Macaca fascicularis: one gene and its partner. The protein of the gene in region 1 purifies or fractionates together with the protein of each later gene. This does not show direct contact. Links are inferred from orthologs where the notes say so. Each region holds a gene or a part of one and is shown on either strand. Other genes may lie near its edges.

Region 1 (11,304 bases):
TCTGGGAACCCTTCCTACTTTTCTGGAAAATACATGAATAACCCACCCCTTATTTAGCATATAATCAAGGAATTGTCAAGTATATAACTAGCCAACAGTTCATGGGAGCTGCTGCCCCTACTCTGTCTATGGAGCAGCCATTTTCCCATAGTTTGTTGCTCTAATAAACTTGCTTTTGCTCGTGAACCCTTTCCTGAATGAAGCCAAGAACCCTCCTGGGCTGAGCCCCAATTCTGGGCTTTCCCTGCATTAGTAGAGAAAACCTTTTAAAATAGAAACCAAAACCCAAACATTTTACTACATAAATATAACAAAACTAACATGGATGCAGCTGGAGGCTATTATTCTAAGCAAATTAATGCAAGTACAGAAAACCAAATACCACATATTTTCACTTATAAGTGGAAATTAAACATTAGGTACTCATGGACATAAAGATGGCAACAATAGACACTGGGGACTACTAGAGGGGGATGGGAAGGAAGGGGCAAAGGTTGAAAAACTAACTATTGGGTACTATGCTCACTACCCAGGTGATGGGATCATTCATACCCCAGATCTCAGCATCATGGAATATAACCATGTAACAAACTTGCACATGTATCCCCTGGATCTAAAATAGAAGTTGAAATTTTTTTTAATAATTAATAAATAATATAATAAAAGCAAAAACCTCCTTCCTAAGTTCCCCTTACCCCAAAAGTCTATCATTAACAAAATCAAAAGACAGTCTGGGAAAAAGTATATGCAAGTCATACTTGATACAAATAACTAATTTCTTTGATGCATAAAGAGCTCCTAGAAATCATAAGGAAAAGACCAACACTCTAACAGAAAAGTGACCAAAAATTATGAACAGCCAGTTAGCTCACAGAGAGAAAATGCAAAATGTTCACTTACAATGACAGAAATGCAAACTAAAACCACAATAAATTACCATTTTTCACTTAGATTGGCAAGGATCAGAAAGTCTGATAACATGCTGTGTTAATGAGGGCATTGAGAAAAAATCATAATGTTGCTAGTGAGGCATAATTGATACAGCCTCTGTGAAGAGCAATACGTCAGTATCAAAATAAAAATGCAAATATCCTTCGACAAAAATAATTCTAGTTCTAGGAGTTACTATACCTGCACATATTCAAAATGCATAAGTGTTGAGGATATTTGTGGTAGCATTGTTTATAATAACAAAATGTTGGAAGCAACTTAAATACCCATCAGTAGAGGACTGGTAAAAAAAAAAATTATGCTATATCATACAATGAAACACTGTATAACTGCTAAAATGAATGAGGCAGCTCTAAATTAACATCTATGCTAAAATACGTTGTGAAGTGAAAAAAAGCAAGGTGCATTTATTTAATAAAAAGGAAGTTTATTTGCATATATGCTTGTGATGCATACACTATCTCAGGAAACACCAACAAACGAGGTGGTTACAGTGGTTGCTTCCCTGAAGGGAATTATCTGCCTGCAGATATGGGAAGGAGGAAGCTTTGCTTTCAACTTCATCACTTTTTAAAAACCTATTTGCATTTTATACTATGACAGACACGCATTACTATTTTAAGGCAACTGAATGGTTTAAAATTATTTTTTGGCCGAGCGCAGTGGCTCACGCCTGTAATCCCAGCACCTTGGGAGGCCAAGGCGGGCGGATCACAAGGTCAGCAGATCAAGACCATCCCGGCCAACACAGTGAAACCCCGTCTCTACTAAAAGTACAAAAATTAGCTGGGTGTGGTGGCACGAGCCTGTAGTTCCAGCTACTTGGGAGGTTGAGGCAGGAGAATCGCTTGAACCCGGAGGCAGAGGTTGCAGTGAGCTGAGATAGCGCCACTGCACTCCAGTCTGGTGACAGAGCAAGACTCCGTCTCAAAAATAAATAAATAAATAAATAAATAAATAAATAAATAAATAAATAAATAAAATAAGGCTGGTCTCCTAAGAGTATGGCGGCTGCCTCTTCTCCCCTTTATATTATATATGCTGAACGTTTCCGAAAAGTCATAATGCATATTATCAAGATGATTACTGTCCTGCAATTCAAGTTTGGCTGTTTAGACTTTTTTTTTTTTTTGAGACGGAGTCTCGCTCTGTTGCCCAGGCTAGAGTGCAGTGGCCGGATCTCAGCTCGCTGCAAGCTCCGCCTCCCGGGTTTACGCCATTCTCCTGCCTCAGCCTCCCGAGTAGCTGGGACTACAGGCGCCCACCACCTCGCCCGGCTAGTTTTTTGTATTTTTTAGTAGAGACGGGTTTCACCGGGTTAGCCAGGATGGTCTCGATCTCCTGACCTTGTGATCCGCCCGTCTCGGCCTCCAAAGTGCTGGGATTACAGGCTTGAGCCACCGCGCCCTGCCTGTTTAGACTTTCTTAATATAATGTTTATTGTTAATCTGTTTCTACTTTTAACCCCTATTCTTCAAATTGCTCTTAAAACAAGTCAAAAAAATAAATTTTCAATTATTCTGATTGCTTTCTCTTTACCTGGAAAGACCTCTAAAAGGAAACGAAGGAAGAGAAAGGAGACCGAACACTGGAGCATTAAGAACCCGAGAAAAGAAAAAAAAGGTCCACAAAGTTTAAAAGAAATAAATTATGGTAAAAGTGTTTTCTCAACCAAATGATCCGCAAGGAAAATTTCCAAATTCCTCTGCTCAACAAAATTTCTTTTAGTTTTTCTACAATAATGATTTCTTTTCAGTTTCCATACCGCCCCGAGGCCCCGCCCATTTATAAGAGAAACGAAGAAACGAAGAAACGAGGAAGTCAGCCTGACAGTGGGAGTACGCTCAATTAGCAGGAGACAACTGAAAAGTAAAATACTTTTCATTGTTTTCCAGAGATCAAGCGAAAGACAAGACCTCGCGACCGCGAAAGGAAGGTCAGAGAGAAGAGGGAATAACAAAAGAACACAGACCACGAAGCTTTTCTCAAAACACTGGCTTCCTCCTCTTAGCCGAGGTCAACGCAGAGGGCTCGGCTTTAGGCTCCACCCAGCTTCCTACACGTTCTGAGGGAGGGGCTTGGAACACTGAAGCAGCGACACTTGATTTTTCCAGGAAAGAAAAATGTTGAAGGGCCACAGGTGAACATCTGAAGACTTCTAATCGTTCCACTAAAGTTTGAGTGGTTTCCTAGAAGAAGGAAGGGTGCTTCAGAAATAAAAATACCGTGCAATAATTTGAAAATCAACTGTAAAGCATTAAGATTACAACAGAACATGTACAGAAATAATTCATTTAATACAACTACAGGCTAACTGGCTATATAAGCAAAAACTATAAATTATACCAGCTATAAATTAGATTATACTATACTCCTGGGGAGGCATGTTCATGGCGGTTAACAGTTGTGAAATTAGAACCATCCTGCCTGAGTTCAAATCGCAACTCAGGCACTTGCCAGCTGTGTGATCTATTCTGACCCTTGCTTAAACTTCTAACTTTGTATTCTTCATGGTACTTTGCACATAGTACTGGGTGCTCAATGTCAATTGATCAACCGAATTAATGTTAGTGAAAGTCACTAATTTTCAATCTATACAATTATCTATGAGTATGTACATTTCCACTTGTCATTCCTTGTATTCAATTTATACTAATAGATACTTTCCAGGAACATCTACTGAATTCTTTCATTCCTTCCATCAGATATTTAATCAATTCTGTGTTCCAGGTATTATGATGGAGCCTGGAGACAAACTACAAAACATGATAGATAATGCAGGAAGGAGCATGAAATAAGTACTAAGGTGGCACCTACCTTGGGAGAAGTGGATAGAGAACTCAGGACGTGTGAAAAGGAGAAACACGAGAGGGATCCTTTAAGGATAAGTGAAAACAATTTTGTTTCCTAATGATGAAACTTACGTTGAAAATACTCCATTAAAATTCATCTACTAAAATCTTGTAACCACAAACACAAAAACAAAAAACTATCACGATCATAATTATGATTATGTAAGCTAAAAAAAAATCGAGTGCAGACACAAAAATTTTCACCTGAGATACTCACTTTATGTAACTACCACTCATCATTATAGCCAGAAGGTATTTGCTTCCATCCAGTTTGGGTGTAAGCATAGAGTTAAGTCTATAATTATTTATTTGATGCCAAGTAGAAATACAGTATGACAATATACAAGGTTCAAATGTGGGAGAAGTTACAAGCAAGTCCTCGGAGAGTCAGTGAGATGTTTATGAAGAGTCATATACTGAACTCCATAAACGAGTTGGAGCTTGCACACTCAATTTTCCCTTTATGTAAAAAGTTTTCGTGTAAACATTATAGCTACTAAAAATCAGAACAAGTTCAATTATCCACGACCCAAAGCTAGATTAGACCTTTTCAATGATTATTAAGCTACACATCCATATTTAACAGCTAGTCTTTAGAGGAAGGGACCATCTCATTCTATTAACAGCGAGTATTGAGTCAGGCCTTCAGATGCCTAACTGCACATATTCGAATACATTTTTAAAAATTTCTTAACACATATCGCTAAGGTTACTTTATATGACATTATGAGTACAGGACAACAAAACTCTTAAGCTGTTAAACAGAAAGCCAAATCAAGCTGCATCTATGACATGCCTGTTTAGTGAAACTTTACTTCAATCCATAAAAATACAATTTATTAAAAGCGCAAAACTAGTGGCTAGCTTCAAATTAACATATTTGTTGCTAGTGGTGAGATTTCCTCCAATGTTAAATAATTAAAAAAAAAACATACGTTTTAAATCCAGACAAAATCAATTTTCAAAAATGAAAATTGTAATCTATCCACAAATGTAAGTTTTACCGTTTTGTTTTTTGCAAAAAAAAAAAAAAAAAAAAAAGTTCCTTTTATCTTTCCTTATATTTGAGGAAAAAAGCTTATCTTTGAAGAAATAGCTGCTGAATTTGCAAGATCTTTTGAATACTTCTAACTACATGCTTTATTACTACACAGTTAAATATTTAAACAACAGTTGTCTCCTTTGGCAGGATGGTACTTACCTTCTTGAGATGACCAAATCGAAACACAGAACTCCTCCAGAGGTACAGCCTTGGTGGGAGATTCTGAAGACCCAAGTCTGGCTTCTACCCCTAGCCGCATGAACCTGCATCCTTTACTTAGTCCAGAAAGGCTTAGTATATTAGTAACCCAAAGATAGTGAGGGCATTTAAACTGTGTATTTCATGCCCTACTCACGTTTGCATTTTGGGTTTTAAAAAAAAAAAAAAAAAAAAGAGGTTGGGCCCCACCACCTGGAGACACTGTCCCACCAGTTTGCCCGCCGCGCCAAGCCGGTGGCTCAGCTGTCACCTAGGTTCTCACGACTCCTCCTATTGCTTGACAGCCAGCCAATAGCGTGCTAGGACTCTAGGACGCGCGATGGCGTAAGCGCCAACGCCCGCGTGATGACGCAAGCGGCGTCACCGTCTCCAAGGAGTGGTTCGGGGCACCGGTTTCAAAGTCGCAGGGCGGGCCGAGTGGACTTCCGCTGCTGGCCTGGGGCTTCCCAGCCGTGTTGGCGTCGTCTTCTCCAACCCACGCCGCTCCGCGTAGAACGCCGCTCTCAGGCTGCCCTCCAGCTCCCGCGGCACTCTCCTAGGTGGCCCGACGAGACCCAGAGTGACCCGCGGGACGCCTGTATCGAGCAAGTCCTCTTCCCACCAGGGTGGGATTCGGTTGAACGTGGAACAGAATTCACCTGGCGCGCCCCCAGCAATCTTCAGTCTCTCTCCAGGGCCTGGGACTCGTCTGGGGCGCGGGGGAAGGAAGCGTGGCGGGGCTGTAGATGCCGCGTGAGTAGGATGCAGATTGCACCGCTGGAGCGCTTGACAACCAACCGAGCGTTGGCTTAGTTTTGTTTTCCCGCACAGCAAACTCTGTGTCTTTCAGAGGAAGGTAAAGGTGGTGAAAACTCCAAACTAAAATTGTATCGAAATGGCTACAGAAATCGACTTTCTGAGAGAGCAAAGTAAGCTCCATGTTTTTTTGAGACTTCATATTCACATACAATGTTTAATATCGTCGTCGTTGACCGACAAATCTTTTTTGAATGCTGGTTGGGTACATTTAAATTTGTAAAAATTTAAAGAAGTTAGTTGCAGGGAAAAAAAAAAGAGCTTGATGGTATACGTGAGGATGTGTGTATATTTAAGCAGAACCGTATGGTGGTACTTGTGGCTTACACAGAATTCTGCTAGACGCTAAACATGTTTGTTATGCTCCTCTCGTGCTCTGAAGATTAGAAGGCTAATGGCCAGCAAGAGTTTCCAAGTGTGCATTTAAAACCTAGGGGCCCAGCTCTCTGGCCATTTATTAAAAAGATGTTTATTGAACTCCTGTTTCTATTATGTACCAGACACTATAGAAGAACAGCTGCTGCAAAGATAAACAGGACAGTTTTTTACCTTAAGAATTTAATTTGGGGAGGGAAATGTATTCCAAAGTATATTGAAGTGGCAGCAACTGCTGGCTCTTTTGCCACAGTCTCAGGGATTGTTGGAATGATTAAATGAATATTAAAATGTGTAAAGGATTTAGAATAGTATCTGATACATTGTTAATTTATTGTTATGTAATAGTTAAATATTAACTGTTACACGATTATTATTAAAATATGTTCAAGGAAGGTGCTATTAGGCTGAAACGTGCAATACCAATATGAATTTAGTATATAAAAACTCTAGGCATCCCAAATAGAACAATATTGGCGACACTGAGGGCATTAGGAATATGCTTTGTTAAAGATTTGCAATAAGGCTGGTTTGAATGTAATATTGATGTAAATGGAATTGGAATATTTATATAGGGAAATGGCAAGTGCAGTCGAAGGAGTAGAAAGGGCTGGATGGTGAAGGGCCCTGTCTTCTCTGTGCTAAGGAGTTTGGACCACTGCATGGGTTATAGGAATTCAGTTGAGAGTGGCATGATCAAATTGTAATTTAGAAGGCCCAGTCTGATTTTTATGGGGAATGTGCATTATAGCAGAGTGCAGTTAGTTGACTACTGTCATCATTCAGATAAGAAGTAAACTAAGTTGGGCACAGGGAGATTGGGGATCAGGGGATTTGAAGGAAAGAGATAGAGGACGCTTCGTTTTTGCTTGAGCAACAGGGAAGTTAGGAAAAAGGTAGTAAGTCCCATTTTGGCAGCATTATAGACCAGTGGTTAAGAACTCAGTTAGCCTCTAGATTTAGTCTGTCTGGGCTCAGAGCCTACCTCTTTCCAGGTCTGTGACCTCGAGCAAGTTTCCTAGCTTTTCTGCACCTCAGTTTTCTCATTTGTGTAATGAGTATAAGAACACAAGAATCCTCTTGAAGTTCTGAGACTTAAATGAGATGATGAAAAAGCAGTGAGCATAGTGTCTGGCACATTTTAAGTGCATGGTATATGTTATCTAAAATAATTAATGACACTGTAATGACACAATAACATTAGCATTATTTCTTAGGTTTGTAGTGAGAATATCCCCATCCCATAAGAACAGCTAACTGGCCACCATAAGAGTGGTGTGGGACAGGAGTTGGTTGATGAGGAGTTTGGCTAGAGTCAGGAGAGTACTTGAAGCAGTGAGAAACTATTAATTTCATAAGAATGATCCAGCCAGAATTCTTAGATAAAACTGAGATCCAAATACCAGGGGGAAACAAATAAGACAACTGAAGCATAGTAACATTTTTTGAAAAATGAGTGGTATTTAATAGTTCCACAGAAGACAAGTGGAGTGCAAGAAGGAAATCTCAAGCAGAAGGAGCAGAAGAAGGAATGGTTCAAAGGCTTAAAATAACTGGTTTTATTCAGGGAATCAGAGCCTAGAATGGTAGCGTATGCATGAAGAGATAAGAATGAGAGTTGAGTGTCTGCGTTGCTCTGCTTTTTTCTTTAACTGGATTTTGCATGCCATTTGAAGGTGGTGGATTATTCCATTAAGTGACCCACCCAAATACCAGCCCAGATAAAGGTAGATGGTCTTCTTTCCACCTGCCTCTGACTTTTTCTACACTGATTTCTGTTGATCTCGATTGTCTCTTTGTTCCTTTTGAATTTGGGAGCCTAGGTCAAGACCATTTGTTTTGGTACTTCTCAACTGGCAACCCCACATGATATTTCCTCTGATAATTACTATTTCAGCTTTACATATCATAACAACAGGCAGCTCCACACTCAACCAGGCTACTAGTAGAGTAAGCTTGTAGCATATTTGCTGTGTACTGTTCTTCCACCTCTGTCTGGGAAAGATCAGTTAGTTTTTAGGAACCTGTTCAAAGAGGTACTTGTATTATCAATCTAAGGAACTAAGAATTCATTCATTAGTGGGGTGTGAGACTCACTGGCAGAGTGGTAATGGACTCATTTTTTTCTTTTCGTTCTCTTAACAGTGTTGGACCCAAACATTTTTAATTTTGATGAAATAATTCATCAATTTTTTCTTTTATGAATTGTGCTTTTGGTGTCATGTAAGAAATCATTGCCTAACCCAAGGTTGCAAAGATTTCTTTTATGTTTTCTTCTAGGAGTTTTATAGTTTTAGGTTTTACCTTTACATCTATGGTTCATAGAGTTAAAGTTTATACAAGGCATGAGGTAAGGATCCAGGCCACTTTTTTGCATTGGATGCCCAATTGGAAAAACTACCCTTTCTCCATTGAATTACTTTTGCTCCTTTGCAGTTGTTTATATATGTATGTATCTATTTATGAACTCTATTCTTTTCCACTGATTTATTTGTCTTATCTGGACACCAATATCCCGCTGTCTTAATTATATCAGCTTTATAGTACGTTTTAAAGTAAAATTGGTTCTTTTTTACCTCATTGATGTATTTCTTTAAATTTTCTCAGCTATACTTTGTAGTTTTTAATGTTTAGGTTTTGCACATCTTTTGTTAGATTTATGCCTGTGTATTGAAATTTTTGATACTACTGTAAGTGGTATTATTCTTTTACTTTCAGTTTCTGATTTTTCGTTGGTAGTATGTAGAAATAACATTTCTTTTTTATTATTATACTTTAAGTTCTGGGGTACATGTGCAGAACGTGCAGTTTTGTTACATAGGTATACATGTGCCATCGTGGTATGCTGCACCCATTAACCCGTCACCTACATTAGGTATTTCTGCTAATGTTATCCCTCCCTTAGTCCCCCACCCCCCAACAGGCCCCAGTGTGTGATGTTCCCCTCCCTGTGTCCACGTGTTCACCTTGTTCAGCTCCCACTTATGAGTGAGAACATGCAGTGTTTGGTTTTCTGTTCTTGTGATAGTTTGCTGAGAATGATGTTTCCAGCTTCATCCATGTCCCAGCAAAGGACATGAACTCATCCTTTTTTATGGCTTCATAATATTCCATGGTGTATATGTGCCACATTTTCTTTATCCAGTCTATCATTTATGGACATTTGGGTTTGTTCCAAGTCTTTGCTGTTGGGAATAGTGCCACAATAAACATACGTGTGCATGTGTCTTTATAGTAGAATGATTTATAATTCTTTGGGTATATACCCAGTAATGGGATTGCTGGGTCAAATGGTATTTCTGGTTCTAGATCCTTGAGGAATCGTCACACTGTCTTCCACAATGGCTGAACTAATTTACACTTGCATCAACAGTGTAAAAGCATTCCTATTTCTCCACATCCTCTCCAGCATCTGTTGTTTCCTGACTTTTTAATGATCGCCATTCTAACTGGCGTGAGATGGTATCTCATTGTCGTTTTGATTTGCATTTCTCTAATAACCAGTGATGATGAGCATTTTTTCATGTTTGTTGGCTGCATAAATATCTTCTTTTGAGAAGTGTCTGTTTATATACTTTGCCCACTTTTTGATGGGATTGTTTGCTTTTCTGTTGTAAATTTGTTTCTTTGTGGATATTAGACCTTTGTCAGATGGCTAGATTACAACAACTTTCTTCCATTCTGTAGGTTGCCTGTTCATTCTGATGATAGTTTTTTTTGCTGTGTAGAAGCTCTTCAGTTTAATTAGATTCCATTTGTCAGTTTTGGCTTTTTTTTGCCGTTGCTTTTGGTGTTTTAGACATTAAGTCTTTGCCTATGCCTACGTCCTGAATGGTATTGCCTAGGTTTTCTTCTAGGGTTTTTATAGTTTTAGGTCTTACATTTAAGTGTTTAATCCATCTTGAGGTGATTTTTGTATAAGGTGTAAGGAAGTGGTCCAGTTTCAGTTTTCTGAATATGGCTAGCCAGTTTTCCCAACACCATTTATTAAATAGGGAATCTTTTCCCCATTGCTTGTTTGTGTCATGTTTGTCAAATATCAGATGGCTGTAGATGTGTGGTGAGAAATAATGTTTTTTAATACTCTGCTCTGCAGCTTTGCCAAACTCATTCATTAGCTCTAGTAGTTTTGTAGAGTCTATCAGTAGTTTTATGTAGATAGTCTTGTCATCTGAAAATAAAAACAGTTTTATTTCTTTCTTTTCAATTTGGATGCCTTTTATTTGTTTTCCTTGCCTTATTGCAGTGACTAGAATCTCTGGTACAGTGTTGAACAGAAGTGATAGGAATACGCATCCATGTCCTGTTCCTGATCTTATGGGGAAGGCATTTATCTTTCAGAATTAGGTATGATACTAGTTGTAGGTTTTTCATAGATGTTCTTATGTTGAGAATGTTCCTTTCCATTCTTAATTTGCAGAGAGTTTTTATCAAAATGGATGCTGGATTTTTAAAAATGCTGTTCTGCATCCATTGAGATTATCAGATATTTTTTCATTTTTCATTTGTTAATAGAGTGAATTACATTGATTAATTTCAAATGTTAAAACCACCTTGCCTTTCTGGGATAAATTCTACTTGCTCATGATGTATAATCCTTTCTCGATTATTATTGAATTTTATTTTATAAATGTTTGCTTAAAATTTTAGTGTGTTCAGAAGCTTTTTTTTCTTTTTGGGACAGGATCTTCCTCTGTTACCCAGGCTGGAGTGCAATGGCACAGTCATGGCTCTTTGCAGCCTCAACCTCCTGGGCTCAAGCGATCCTTTTGCCTCAGCCTCTTGAGTAACTGGGACTGCAGGCACATGCCACCATATCTGGCTATTTTTTTTTTCTTTTTGTAGAGATAGGGTCTCCTTATGTTACCCAGGCTGGTCTTGAACTCCTGGGCTCAAGTGATCCTCTTGTCTCCCAAAGTGCTAGGATTATAGGCGTGAGCTATCATGCCCAACCTATGAAGCTTTTTTTCTTTTCTTTTTTTCTCCCCCCGCCCCACCATTTTTTTCTTTCTTGCGCAAGGATCTCACTGTCACCCAGGCTGGAGTTTAGTGGTACACTTGTAGCTCACT
Region 2 (10,659 bases), on another chromosome or scaffold:
GAATAGAAAACAAGATTATATCAATGTTAAATTTTCTGATTCTGATCATGAACTTTGCTCAAGAACGAGCGTGTCCCTGTGCTTTTGGAAATGCTCACTGAAGTGCTTAGTGGTAAATAGGCAGGGTGTCCCAACTTACCCTCAAATGATTCAGAAAAAAATCGTATGCTTATATTTAAGTATACACACATGCAGAGACAAACACATATATGTAGAAGGAGAGAAAATGATAAATGGGATAAAATGTAAACATTTGGTAAATCTGGCTAAACACTGTTAGGGGAATGTTTTGTATTATTTTTGCAATGTTTCTGTAGGTGTAAGATTATATCAAAATAAAGTCACGCGTGTTGATGCACACCTGCAGGCCCAGCTACTTGGGAGACCGAGGCAGGAGGATCACTTGAGCCCAGGAGTTCGAGTCCACCCTGGGCAACATAGACCGCATCTCTATAAATAAAAAATATTGTTTAAATTATGTCAAAATAAAAAGTTACTGCTCCCTATGAATAATACTGGCAACAACTAGAAATAGCGCAGGAAGACAACCTTCCTATTGAGTTGAAGCAGATCCTCAAGTACGTGTTGCCTTTTTTGGGCCCTTGGATGAATGATGCATCGTCCACAGACTTTTATTTTTACACATAATTAAGGGCCACTTTTTTATAACTCCTAATTTGTTACAGGCCACTAACATGCCATGTACTTATTTATTAGTATATTACTAGAGTTTATTGAGGATCCAGATTTCCGTATCCCAAGAAGTCTGGCAATGCTTGGCAAAATTGCAAAACAGTTCATAACTACTTGCTATCACAGAAAGTGACAAATGCTCCTCTTTTTGGGAGATAAACCTCTGCTAACAGTGTTGTCTCTTGAATTAGGTCCTTATTTTCACTTTCTGTAGTTCTGAAGCATTTACTATAAGTACATCATGGTTCCCTGCTACTTTCCTGACTCTGCAGATTACCAATCTGATTGCTGTTTCTCTCCACTTCTTGGCTCTGGATTCGTTGTTCAGTTTTGCCTCTCTTAGGGGGTCGGAGACATTTGAGAATTACTAATTGAGTGCAGTAACTCAGGGGCACGTCCTTTGGCCCTCCTCAGGTGTCTTTCTCATATCTGCAATGTGCCTTCTTTTGTGCTTTGGCTTAGCCTTTAGCAGATCAAAAGAGGAAGGTGCTTAGGCCTGCCATGTCCTCCCTGTCCTGGGTTAGTCATTGCTCTGGTGTTGGTGCATTAACACTTCATAAACTGGTCTTGAAAATGAAAAATTAAAGCCTTCTCAGACTTCTAAGTCTGATCACTGATTTGCCTCATGTCTCCACCAAATGACTGCTATTGCACAGCCACTCGGAGGCCTCAGCCCTTTTAGCCCTGCTAAAGTCTCCACAGTAGCCCATCCCTCAGAGCCATCTATTTACACAACTAGTTTTTTTTGTAACAGGAAAAATGAAAGTAGTTGTTAGATTACGGTAGTGGTAATAGATAATTTTTCCTGTTTTAAAATTTGTTTTTATTATATCAGTATAACATATATCACCTTTTTTATTACAAAAGGAATAGAAGACACCAGTATATTACAAATACTATTCATATTGATGAATCAGAATGTTGATTAATATCATTTTGCTATTTAAACCATATGGTATAATGGAAAATTCTTTAAAATGACATAATGGCCTCTTTGGATGGTAAAATGACAATATTCTATAAGGCAGGCTTGACCCAGCAATTTCAGTTCTAGAAAAGTGTCCTACTGATATACTTGCCTGTGTGCAGAGAGACATACACTCAGGGATAATCACTGCAGCATGATTTGGAGTGGAAGATGGTGGGAAACAAACCAATGTCCTTCAATAGCAGACTGTTTACATAAATTATGGTACATCTATAGAATAGGATAATATGCTGCTGTTAAAATTGAATATAATAAAAACTATAATTATGTAATGCAAAGTATGTCACCCTTTACGCACATACCTACTAGTGTATCAAGGTCCTTTCTGCAAGAAACTTAGAGTTGCTTTCTCTGGGGAGAACAGCTAGAGTACTAAAGGATCGTGGAGGTAGAACTTCCTTTTTCCTCTATACTTTTCTATCCTGCTGGATCTTCCTGTCCCTCCTCCCTCTATGGGGAGAGATGGGAGAGATGTACTTTTCCTAATTTTTTTTGAGACATGGCCTCACTCTGTAGCCCAGGCTGGAGTGCAGTGGTGCGATCATAGCTTACTGCAGCTTTGACTTCCTGGGCCCAAGCAATTCTCCTGCCTCAGTCTCCAAGTAGCTGGGACCACAGGTGTGTGCCACCATGCCTAGCTAATTTTATACATATATATATATATATATATATATATATATATATATATGGAGCTCAGCTCACTGCAACCTCTGCCTCCTGGGTTCAAGCGAAATCTCCTGCCTCAGCTCCCTGAGTATCTGGGATTACAGGTGCCCAAATATTTTTTAATTAAAAAAAATTTTTTTAATTTTTTATTTTGTAGAGATGTAGTCTCACTATGTTGCCAAGGCTGGTCTCAAGTTCCTGGGCTCAAGCAATCCTCCCACCTCAGCCTCAGGGCCAGGAACTCTTCCTAATCTCAGATTAGCTGCATAACTTAATTTCTCTTCTAAGGATTTTTTATTCATTTGTTCATTTTCTTTTTTTGTGACAGCTTTATAGTTTTTATTAAGAGTTGTACAGCCATAATCACAATCAATGTGAGTATATTTTCATTCCTGAAAAAGAAACCCCATACCTGTTAGCAATCACTCTTTACCTCCCCCGATTCCTTCTACTCCCCATCACCCACCCTAGCCATTCAGTCCCCAGCCTGGGGCAAACAGTTAACTACTTCCTGTCTCTAAAAATTTGCCTATTCTGAACATTTTCTATAAATGAAATCTTACAGTATATGGTCTTTTGTGACTGGCTTCTCATTTAGCATGATATTTTCGAAGTTCATCCATGATGTAACAGGTATCAGTAATTTATTTCTTTTCGTGGCTGAAAATTATTCTCTTGTGTGAATGTATTACATTTTATCTAGTCATCTAATGTTGGCCATTGGAGTTATCTCCACTTTTGGCTATCATAAATAATGTTGTGCACATCCTTGTACAATATTTTGTGTAGTCATATGTTTACATTCTCCATACCTCTGCCTAGATATGGAATTGCTGGTCAGATGATAACTCTGTTTAACTTTTTCAGGAGCTGCCAAACTCTTCTAAAGTGACTGCACCGTTTTATATTCCCATCAGCAGTGTATGATTCTAGTTTTTCCACATCCTGGACAACACTTGTTATTGCCTATTGTAGTGAATTTTTTTTTTCCCCCCCGAGACGGAGTCTCGCTCTGTCGCCAAGGCTGGAGCCGCAGTGGCCAGATCTCAGCTCACCGCAAGCTCCGCCTCCGGGGTTTACGCCATTCTCCTGCCTCAGCCTCCCGAGTAGCTGGGACTACAGGCGCCCGCCATCTTGCCCGGCTAGTTTTTTGTATTTTTTTAGTAGAGACGGGGTTTCACCGTGTTAGCCAGGATGGTCTCGATCTCCTGACCTTGTGATCCGCCCGTCTCGGCCTCCCAAAGTGCTGGGATTACAGGCTTGAGCCACTGCGCCCCGGCCGTAGTGAATTCTTATAATTTTATGTTGCCTCAGCAAACATTTTAAATCTAAGTTGAACCTTCTCATACCAGAAGCAGGACTGAGTCACCCCGACACAGTTGGCAGTTCCACCTTTTTCCCCAGTTCCTCAGTGTGGTTGGTCCAGATACCTGCCTTACACAGCTGCTCTCTGGTGACCACTTCCCTATGGGATAGCTGGATACAGCCTGCTTGACAGGCCCTTCTTACCTTCACATTCCCCATGGACCATATGCCACAGTGACCACCTCTCAGTCACTGGGTAACCTCCCAAAACTCATGCCTGCTTGCTTTAAACTCACCAGTTAAAACTCCCCATGCTGCCTTTGGGAAACCTGTTTGGATAACACCTGGGACCCATTAAAGACATTGGCTCATGTGTCCTTCCCCTCAAACCACTGCTTCCACCATGTGAGGACACGGGTCCCTTTTCTTCCTCTCTCTGCCTGCACTCCCTGACGTTTGTGTGCTGGCCTCCAGGTATGCCGTGTACTCTCCAGAACCTGTAAGTGATAATGTCTTTATTTCTATCTCATATTTCTCCTAATTATTGGAGGGATACTCTCCATCTTAAATATCCTAAATTAAAACGTCTATCTTTCTTAGTATAGCCATTGATATGGGCTGAATATTTGTGTCCCCCCCCCGCCCCCGGCACAATTCATGTATTGAAATTCTAGGCCGGGTGCGGTGGCTCAAGCCTGTAATCCCAGCACTTTGGGAGGCCGAGACGGGTGGATCACGAGGTCAGGAGATCGAGACCATCCTGGCTAACACGGTGAAACCCCGTCTCTACTAAAAAAAATACAAAAAACTAGCCGGGCAAGGTGGCGAGTGCCTGTAGTCCCAGCTACTCGGGAGGCTGAGGCAGGAGAATGGCGTGAACCCGGGAGGTGGAGTTTGCAGTGAGCTGAGATCCGGCCACTGCACTCCAGCCTGGGGGACAGAGCGAGACCCCGTCTCAAAAAAAAAAAAAAAGAAAAAAAAGAAATTCTAATCCCCAAGGTGTTGGTTTTTGAGGATGAGGACTTTGGGAAGTGATTGAATCAAGGGGGCAGAGCCTTCATGGGCACAATAGTTTCTTTATAAAAGAGGCCGGGGAAATTTGCTTGCCCCTTCCACCCTGCGAGCACACAGCAGAAAGATGCTGTCTGAGAGAAAGCAGTTCCTTACCAGACCCGGAGTCTACTGGCGCCTGCCTCGATCTTGGACTTCCCAGCCTCCAGAACTATCAGAAACAAATTTCTGTTATTTATACACTGTCTAGTTTATGATATTTTGTTACAGCAGCATGAACAGACCAAGACAGCCATCATAGTGGGTAAAGTGATATCTTACTGTGCTTTTGAATTATGTTTCCCTAATGAGTAACGATAGTATCATTTTATGTGTTTATTGGCCATTCATATATCTTCTTTGGAGAAATGTCTATCTAAATCCTTTTCCCACTTTTAAGGGCTATTTGTCTTTTTATTACATAGTTATATGACTTCTTTATGTATTTTGGATACTAGACCCTTATCAAATACATAATTTATAATATTTTCTCCCATTGTGTGGGTTTTCACTTTCCTAATGATGTCTTTTCAAAGCATGTATTTCTTTTTTCAAAAACATATATTCTGTACTTTCTTTTTTTTTTTTTGAGATGGAGTCTCCAGGCTGGAGTGCAGTGGCATGATCTCAGCTCACTGCAATCTCTGCTGCCCGGGTTCAAGTGATTCTCCTGCCTCGGCTTCCCAAACAGCTGGCATCACAGGCACCTGCCACCATGCCCGGCTAATTTTTGTATTTTTAGCAGAGACAGAGTTTTACCATGTTAGCCAGGCTGGTCTCGAACTCCTAACCTCAGGTGATCTGCCCACCTTAGCCTCCCAAAGTGCTGGGATTGCAGGCATGAGCCACCACACCTGGCCTACTTTCTTTACTATGTTGGTTTTGTGAACTATCATTGTTATTAAAATTAAATTGTATGGACTTTACTGCTTTTTGCTCATTCATTATGTAGGAAGCCATGAGTTTAATAAAACGTGGTAGGTGCTGATTTCAGTAATCATGCTTTGTTTGACCTCCTTTCATTTCCGGGGGAAAAAAAAAAAACCACCTAATTGTTTATACACAATATGTTTAGCTCACATCTCTTTTGGTGTTGCAGGTTGCAGTGCAGGAGGGAATTAACTCAGGAACAGCCATGTCAAGAGGATTGTATCAACCAGCAACAATCTTTATGGGCCGCCAAATGTCAGCCGTCTCAAGCATGGGAGATTTCAGTACAGAGCACAAATCTCCCCAACCAACAAAGAACTTTTCAATTCCTGACCCACATTCACACCGACAGACAGCCCAGAGAAGTAATGTGACAGACAGCTGTGTAGTACAAACTAGTAATGACACACAGTGCTTAAATAAGTCTGACAACATAGATGGAAAGGCATCTCTTCAGATTGGTGAGAAAACGCCAGTCACAGCCAGTGTATTGTCTGAGGAGGAACAAACTCATTGCTTGGAGATAGGAAGTAACACACGTCATGGCAAGAGTAATTTATCTGAAGGCAAAAAGTCTGCTGAACTCAATTCCCCGTTACAGGAAAGATTAAGTCCAGAGAAGAGAACCACTGGTTTAAAGTGTGACAGTTCCAGCAGATCAGAGGGATCAGAGGGAGAAATACTGACACGGGAACATATTGAAGTTGAGGAAAAAAGAGCCAGCCCGCCAGTCTCTCCGATATCAGTTTCGGAATACTGTGAATCTGAAAATAAGTGGTCTCAAGAGAAGCATTCTCCTTGGCAAGGTGTTTCAGGTGGGATGAGAGGCTGAGTTTGGTTGCTGAGTTTTCTGGGTGGTAGTGATCTTATGTAAGGACAAAATATACTCTCTAATTATCTCTCTTTGTCATAAAATAGTATCTTTGCCAACAAAATCCATTCTAATGAACTCTTAAAAATGTACATGCAAGTGAATTTGCTGATTTTTAAACCCGCTGTGATTTTTTTTTAAACATTTGAAAATATGTTTAAGCTTTTAAGTTCCGTAATGAATTGTGTGTGGGCTGCTTCTCCGTGTTTTTAACTGATGAGTGATTCTGCTGTGTGTTACCTTGCTTCCCCCTGAAGTCAGTGATTGGTAATCGATTCATGTCCCCACTTGCAGATCATCTTGCTCACGGGGACCCAAAGTCACAAAAGCCCTTCAGAAAAAAGCAGGAAGAGGAGGAGGAGGAAAGTTGGAGCACCAGCAGTGACCTCACTGTTTCAATAAGTGAAGATGACCTGTTTTTAAAGAGCCCAGAACCACAGCCAAATCCAGGTGGCAAGGTGGAGGGAGAAGATGGAATAGAGGCCTTAAAATTAATCCATGCTGAGCAAGAAAGAGATGCCCTATCCACTGAAAAAAATAATTGTATTTTGCAAACCCTAAGCTCTCCTGATTCAGAAAAGGAATCCTCCACTCACGCACTAACTAGAGAGTAAGCCATTCAATTTTTTTTTTCTACTGTTCTGTTTTTAATTGTAGACATTTCTAGAGACCATTCCACTGGGAATGTATTATTGAGCACTCAGCCATGAATGTGTAAATTCCTTAAGTCTCATAAGTAATCTTTTAGGCAAGACCTAATTTTCTTTCTGTCCTTCTTTCTTCTTTGCTTCCTCCCTTCCTTCTTTCTTTAACAGAAAAGCTTTAAACGTTTGGATATAATTGAGTTATGGTGATTGCAGCTTGTAATTATATACACACAATCCCTGGTTAACATAATAAGTCATTCCCCAACACCCTACTCTCAAGCCTTTCAGAAAATAAATCTGTTTTGAAGTTTTGGTAGCACAGAAGGTGACAGTTAAACTTACTAGGAATGCAGTATTAGAGTCTGAGAACTTTATGTCTAATTAATTTGCTTAATCCTTATATTCCTTGCCGTAGTATCATTTTTGTCATCTGATTAAATATGAGTTAATAAGCTCTTCCAATTGTATATATAAGCCAGATTTCCTTTTTTGAATGTAAATAGGAAACATTGGAATCTCTAATATTAAATGGGAACATCAGCGTTATACATTTTGAGAACTTACATTATCCAACTGATAAAAATTTATATATGCTTTTGTGCTACTGATCGGAGATGCTAGAAGAAAACGTTGTAGAAAGTTCTTGTGTATCTACTATGTAGAAAACTTGTTAACTGTTGAAAACTGATTCTGTGCTGAAAAATGGCATTAATAACATCAAATCTCTTTTAGGAGTAGAAAGAACCTAAGTAAACAACCTAAGGTAGATCTCACCTTTTACAAATGAGGAAACGAAGGCCGGGGCAGAGTGGAGTCATATAGTTCTGCTGGATCTGCTGGGGCAGAGCACCCCGCACCCTGTCTGCCTGAATGTCACACCACTGCCCCACCTCCAGAATTTTCTGTTACACCGTAATGCTGGTCACCCTTTCATTTCCACAAAGCTGGCAGGAGTGAAAAGCCAAGTGGGCATTTTTGTATAGGAGGGCATATGTTCTCTTTTAGAACACCATTGTACCTTTTAATATATTGCCTCTTACCATTCATTGTCTACTTATGGTGAAAAGTTTATTAATGGGCTTTAATTTATAGATTGTATCCAAACTGATGTTCAGGAAATATTTATTAAGAGCATATCCAAGTAAAAGTTCTTGCATGAGGGATGGAAGAACCGACATGGTTCCTGTCATTGAGAAATTTGATTTATTGGAGAGGCAAGCCAAATGGATTTTTCTAGTAATAATACTTTCATCAAAGAGACACAGGTAATGCATATTACATCATCAGAAACTTTATTACTGGAGATAGAATGTTATCTATCTCTAGTTTTGTGTTTGTGGGCTTATTTTTATGGCATGATGGACCAGTTAGTACTTTGGTAGGCTGACAAGGAGACTAATATACTTACCCAGGACTCAGTCTTTTTCTGAGGTGAAAAAAATTGGGTATGTGTATGGAATTCCTACTTAACATTTCTCTAAGAGTCAAGAATGTTCATTCTGTCTCCATTCGAAAGACTTTTTAAAAATGATCTTGGAGGCATAAAGTCAGGCTCCTTGGAGTTTTGGCATATAGTTTTCCAGTATTTATTGGAAAATATGGGCATGTAGGGAATTTTGAGTATTTTTCTTAATAAAATACCCCTAGAATGAAAATGTCAGTCAGCAGTGGTTGTTTTTGTGTCTATATTATCAAATTTGAGCCTACTGATTTTCTGGGTAAAAATATTCTCCAGGAATAGGTCGAAGGTGGTTTTAAATGAATGCTAGTTAACTCCCTGACATCACCACTGCATTTGAGGCCCCACATTTTGTTAATTTATTGTTTAGTTGGAGCTCTTCTCCTTTGCTCTTAGGGTTAATTATTAGTCTGAGACATAGCATCATATTTATAGAACTAACACTATAACCTCAACAGTTCAGTATTTCAGTTGACTTTAGGGTCTGTTGGGGGCCTGGAGAAAAATCACTTGAATGAATTTAATTAGCAAAGATGCATAAATGGGACAAAGGAGGACACACAGGAGCATATGATCTGGAATGTAGAATCTGCACAACATCTTGAAGTCTTTGAAGGAGGAAGAGGAGGGAAAGAGCAAATAGGGTCTGGAGGAAAATGCAAGAAGGAATGCAGAGCAGAGAACACAGAGGACATGGGAGGGGCAGAGCAAAGGACCGCATGGGTGAGGAGGGCCTTTTGTAGTTAAGGTTCAAAATGTCACCTAGGGTGAGCTTGAGAAAGGCCTGGAATATCAGGTTAATGAATTTGGAATTCACTCTCTATGCTTTGTAGAGCTGTTCAAGGTTATTTTAGGAGGAGGATAGTGTGATGAGGCTTGATTTAGGATTAACCTGACAGCGTTAGTTCATTAGGATTAATCATCAGTGTGGTAGGCAGAAGTGCAGATGGCCCTGAGATTCTCTCTTCCTGTTGTTTGTGCCCTGTGTAATCCCCTTGCCTTGAGAGTGGGCAGGATTGGGAGTCTGGTGGATTTTACTCCTGTGATGAAGCTGTCACGTGACAAAGATGAAGGATTTTGCAGATATAATGAAGGTCCCAAATCATTTGCCCTTGAGCTAGTCAAATGAAAATTATTCAGGCCGGGCGCGGTGGCTCAAGCCTGTAATCCCAGCACTTTGGGAGGCCGAGACGGGCGGATCACAAGGTCAGGAGATCGAGACCATCCTGGCTGACACGGTGAAACCCCGTCTCTACTAAAAAATACAAAAAACTAGCCGGGCGAGGTGGCGGGCGCCTGTAATCCCAGCTACTCGGGAGGCTGAGGCAGGAGAATGGCGTGAACCCGGGAGGCGGAGCTTGCAGTGAGCTGAGATCCGGCCACTGCACTCCAGCCTGGGCGGCAGAGTGAGACTCCGTCTCAAAAAAAAAAAAAAGAAAATTATTCAAGGTGGACCTGACCTAATCAGATGAGACTTTAAAAGAGACTGGCCCTTACTGAAGCCAGTGGCACAATCTCAGCTCACTGCAACCTTTGCCTCCTGGGTTCAAGCTATTCTTCTGCCTTAGCCTTACAGATAGTTGGGATTACAGGTGCCTGCCACCACGCCTGGCTAATTTGTTTTGTTTTGGTTTTGGTTTTTTTTGAGATGGAGTTTTGCTCTCGTTGCCCAGGCTGGAGTGCAATGGCACAACCTCAGCTCACTGCAACCTCTGCCTCCTGGGTTCAAGCGATTCTTCTGCCTCAGCCTCCCGAGTAGCTGGGATTACAAGCATGTGCCACCATGCCCGGCTAATTTTTGTGTTTTGTTTTGTTTTGTTTTGTTTTTAGAGAGACTTGGTTTCTCCATGTTGGTCAGACTGGTCTTGTACTCCTTACCTCGGGTGATCTGCCCGCCTCGGCCTCCCAAAGTGCTGGGATTACAGGCATGAGCCACTGCTCCTGGCCAATTTTTGTATTTTTAGTAGAGACCTGGTTTCACCATGTTGGCCAGGCTGGTCTTGAACTGCTGACCTCAAGCGATCTGCCTGCCTTGCCCTCCCAAAGTTCT

What was found.
Region 2: the proteins of SCLT1 (region 1) and KIZ purify together in Homo sapiens (co-immunoprecipitation; 3 studies listed by BioGRID and IntAct, counting the BioPlex papers as one, with this or other methods). This does not show direct contact. The link is inferred for Macaca fascicularis from reciprocal best matches to the Homo sapiens genes SCLT1 and KIZ.

What each region holds. Positions count from the first base shown.
Region 1 is NC_088379.1:134,100,029-134,111,332, reverse strand, and holds the start of SCLT1 (sodium channel and clathrin linker 1), read left to right. Parts: upstream 1-5,423; 5' UTR 5,424-5,938; coding exon of another isoform or gene 5,939-5,972; intron 5,973-11,304. UniProt on the Homo sapiens protein: Adapter protein that links SCN10A to clathrin. Regulates SCN10A channel activity, possibly by promoting channel internalization.
Region 2 is NC_088384.1:66,157,334-66,167,992, reverse strand, and holds part of KIZ (centrosomal protein kizuna), read left to right. Parts: intron 1-5,801; coding exon 5,802-6,447; intron 6,448-6,797; coding exon 6,798-7,113; intron 7,114-10,659. UniProt on the Homo sapiens protein: Centrosomal protein required for establishing a robust mitotic centrosome architecture that can endure the forces that converge on the centrosomes during spindle formation. Required for stabilizing the expanded pericentriolar material around the centriole.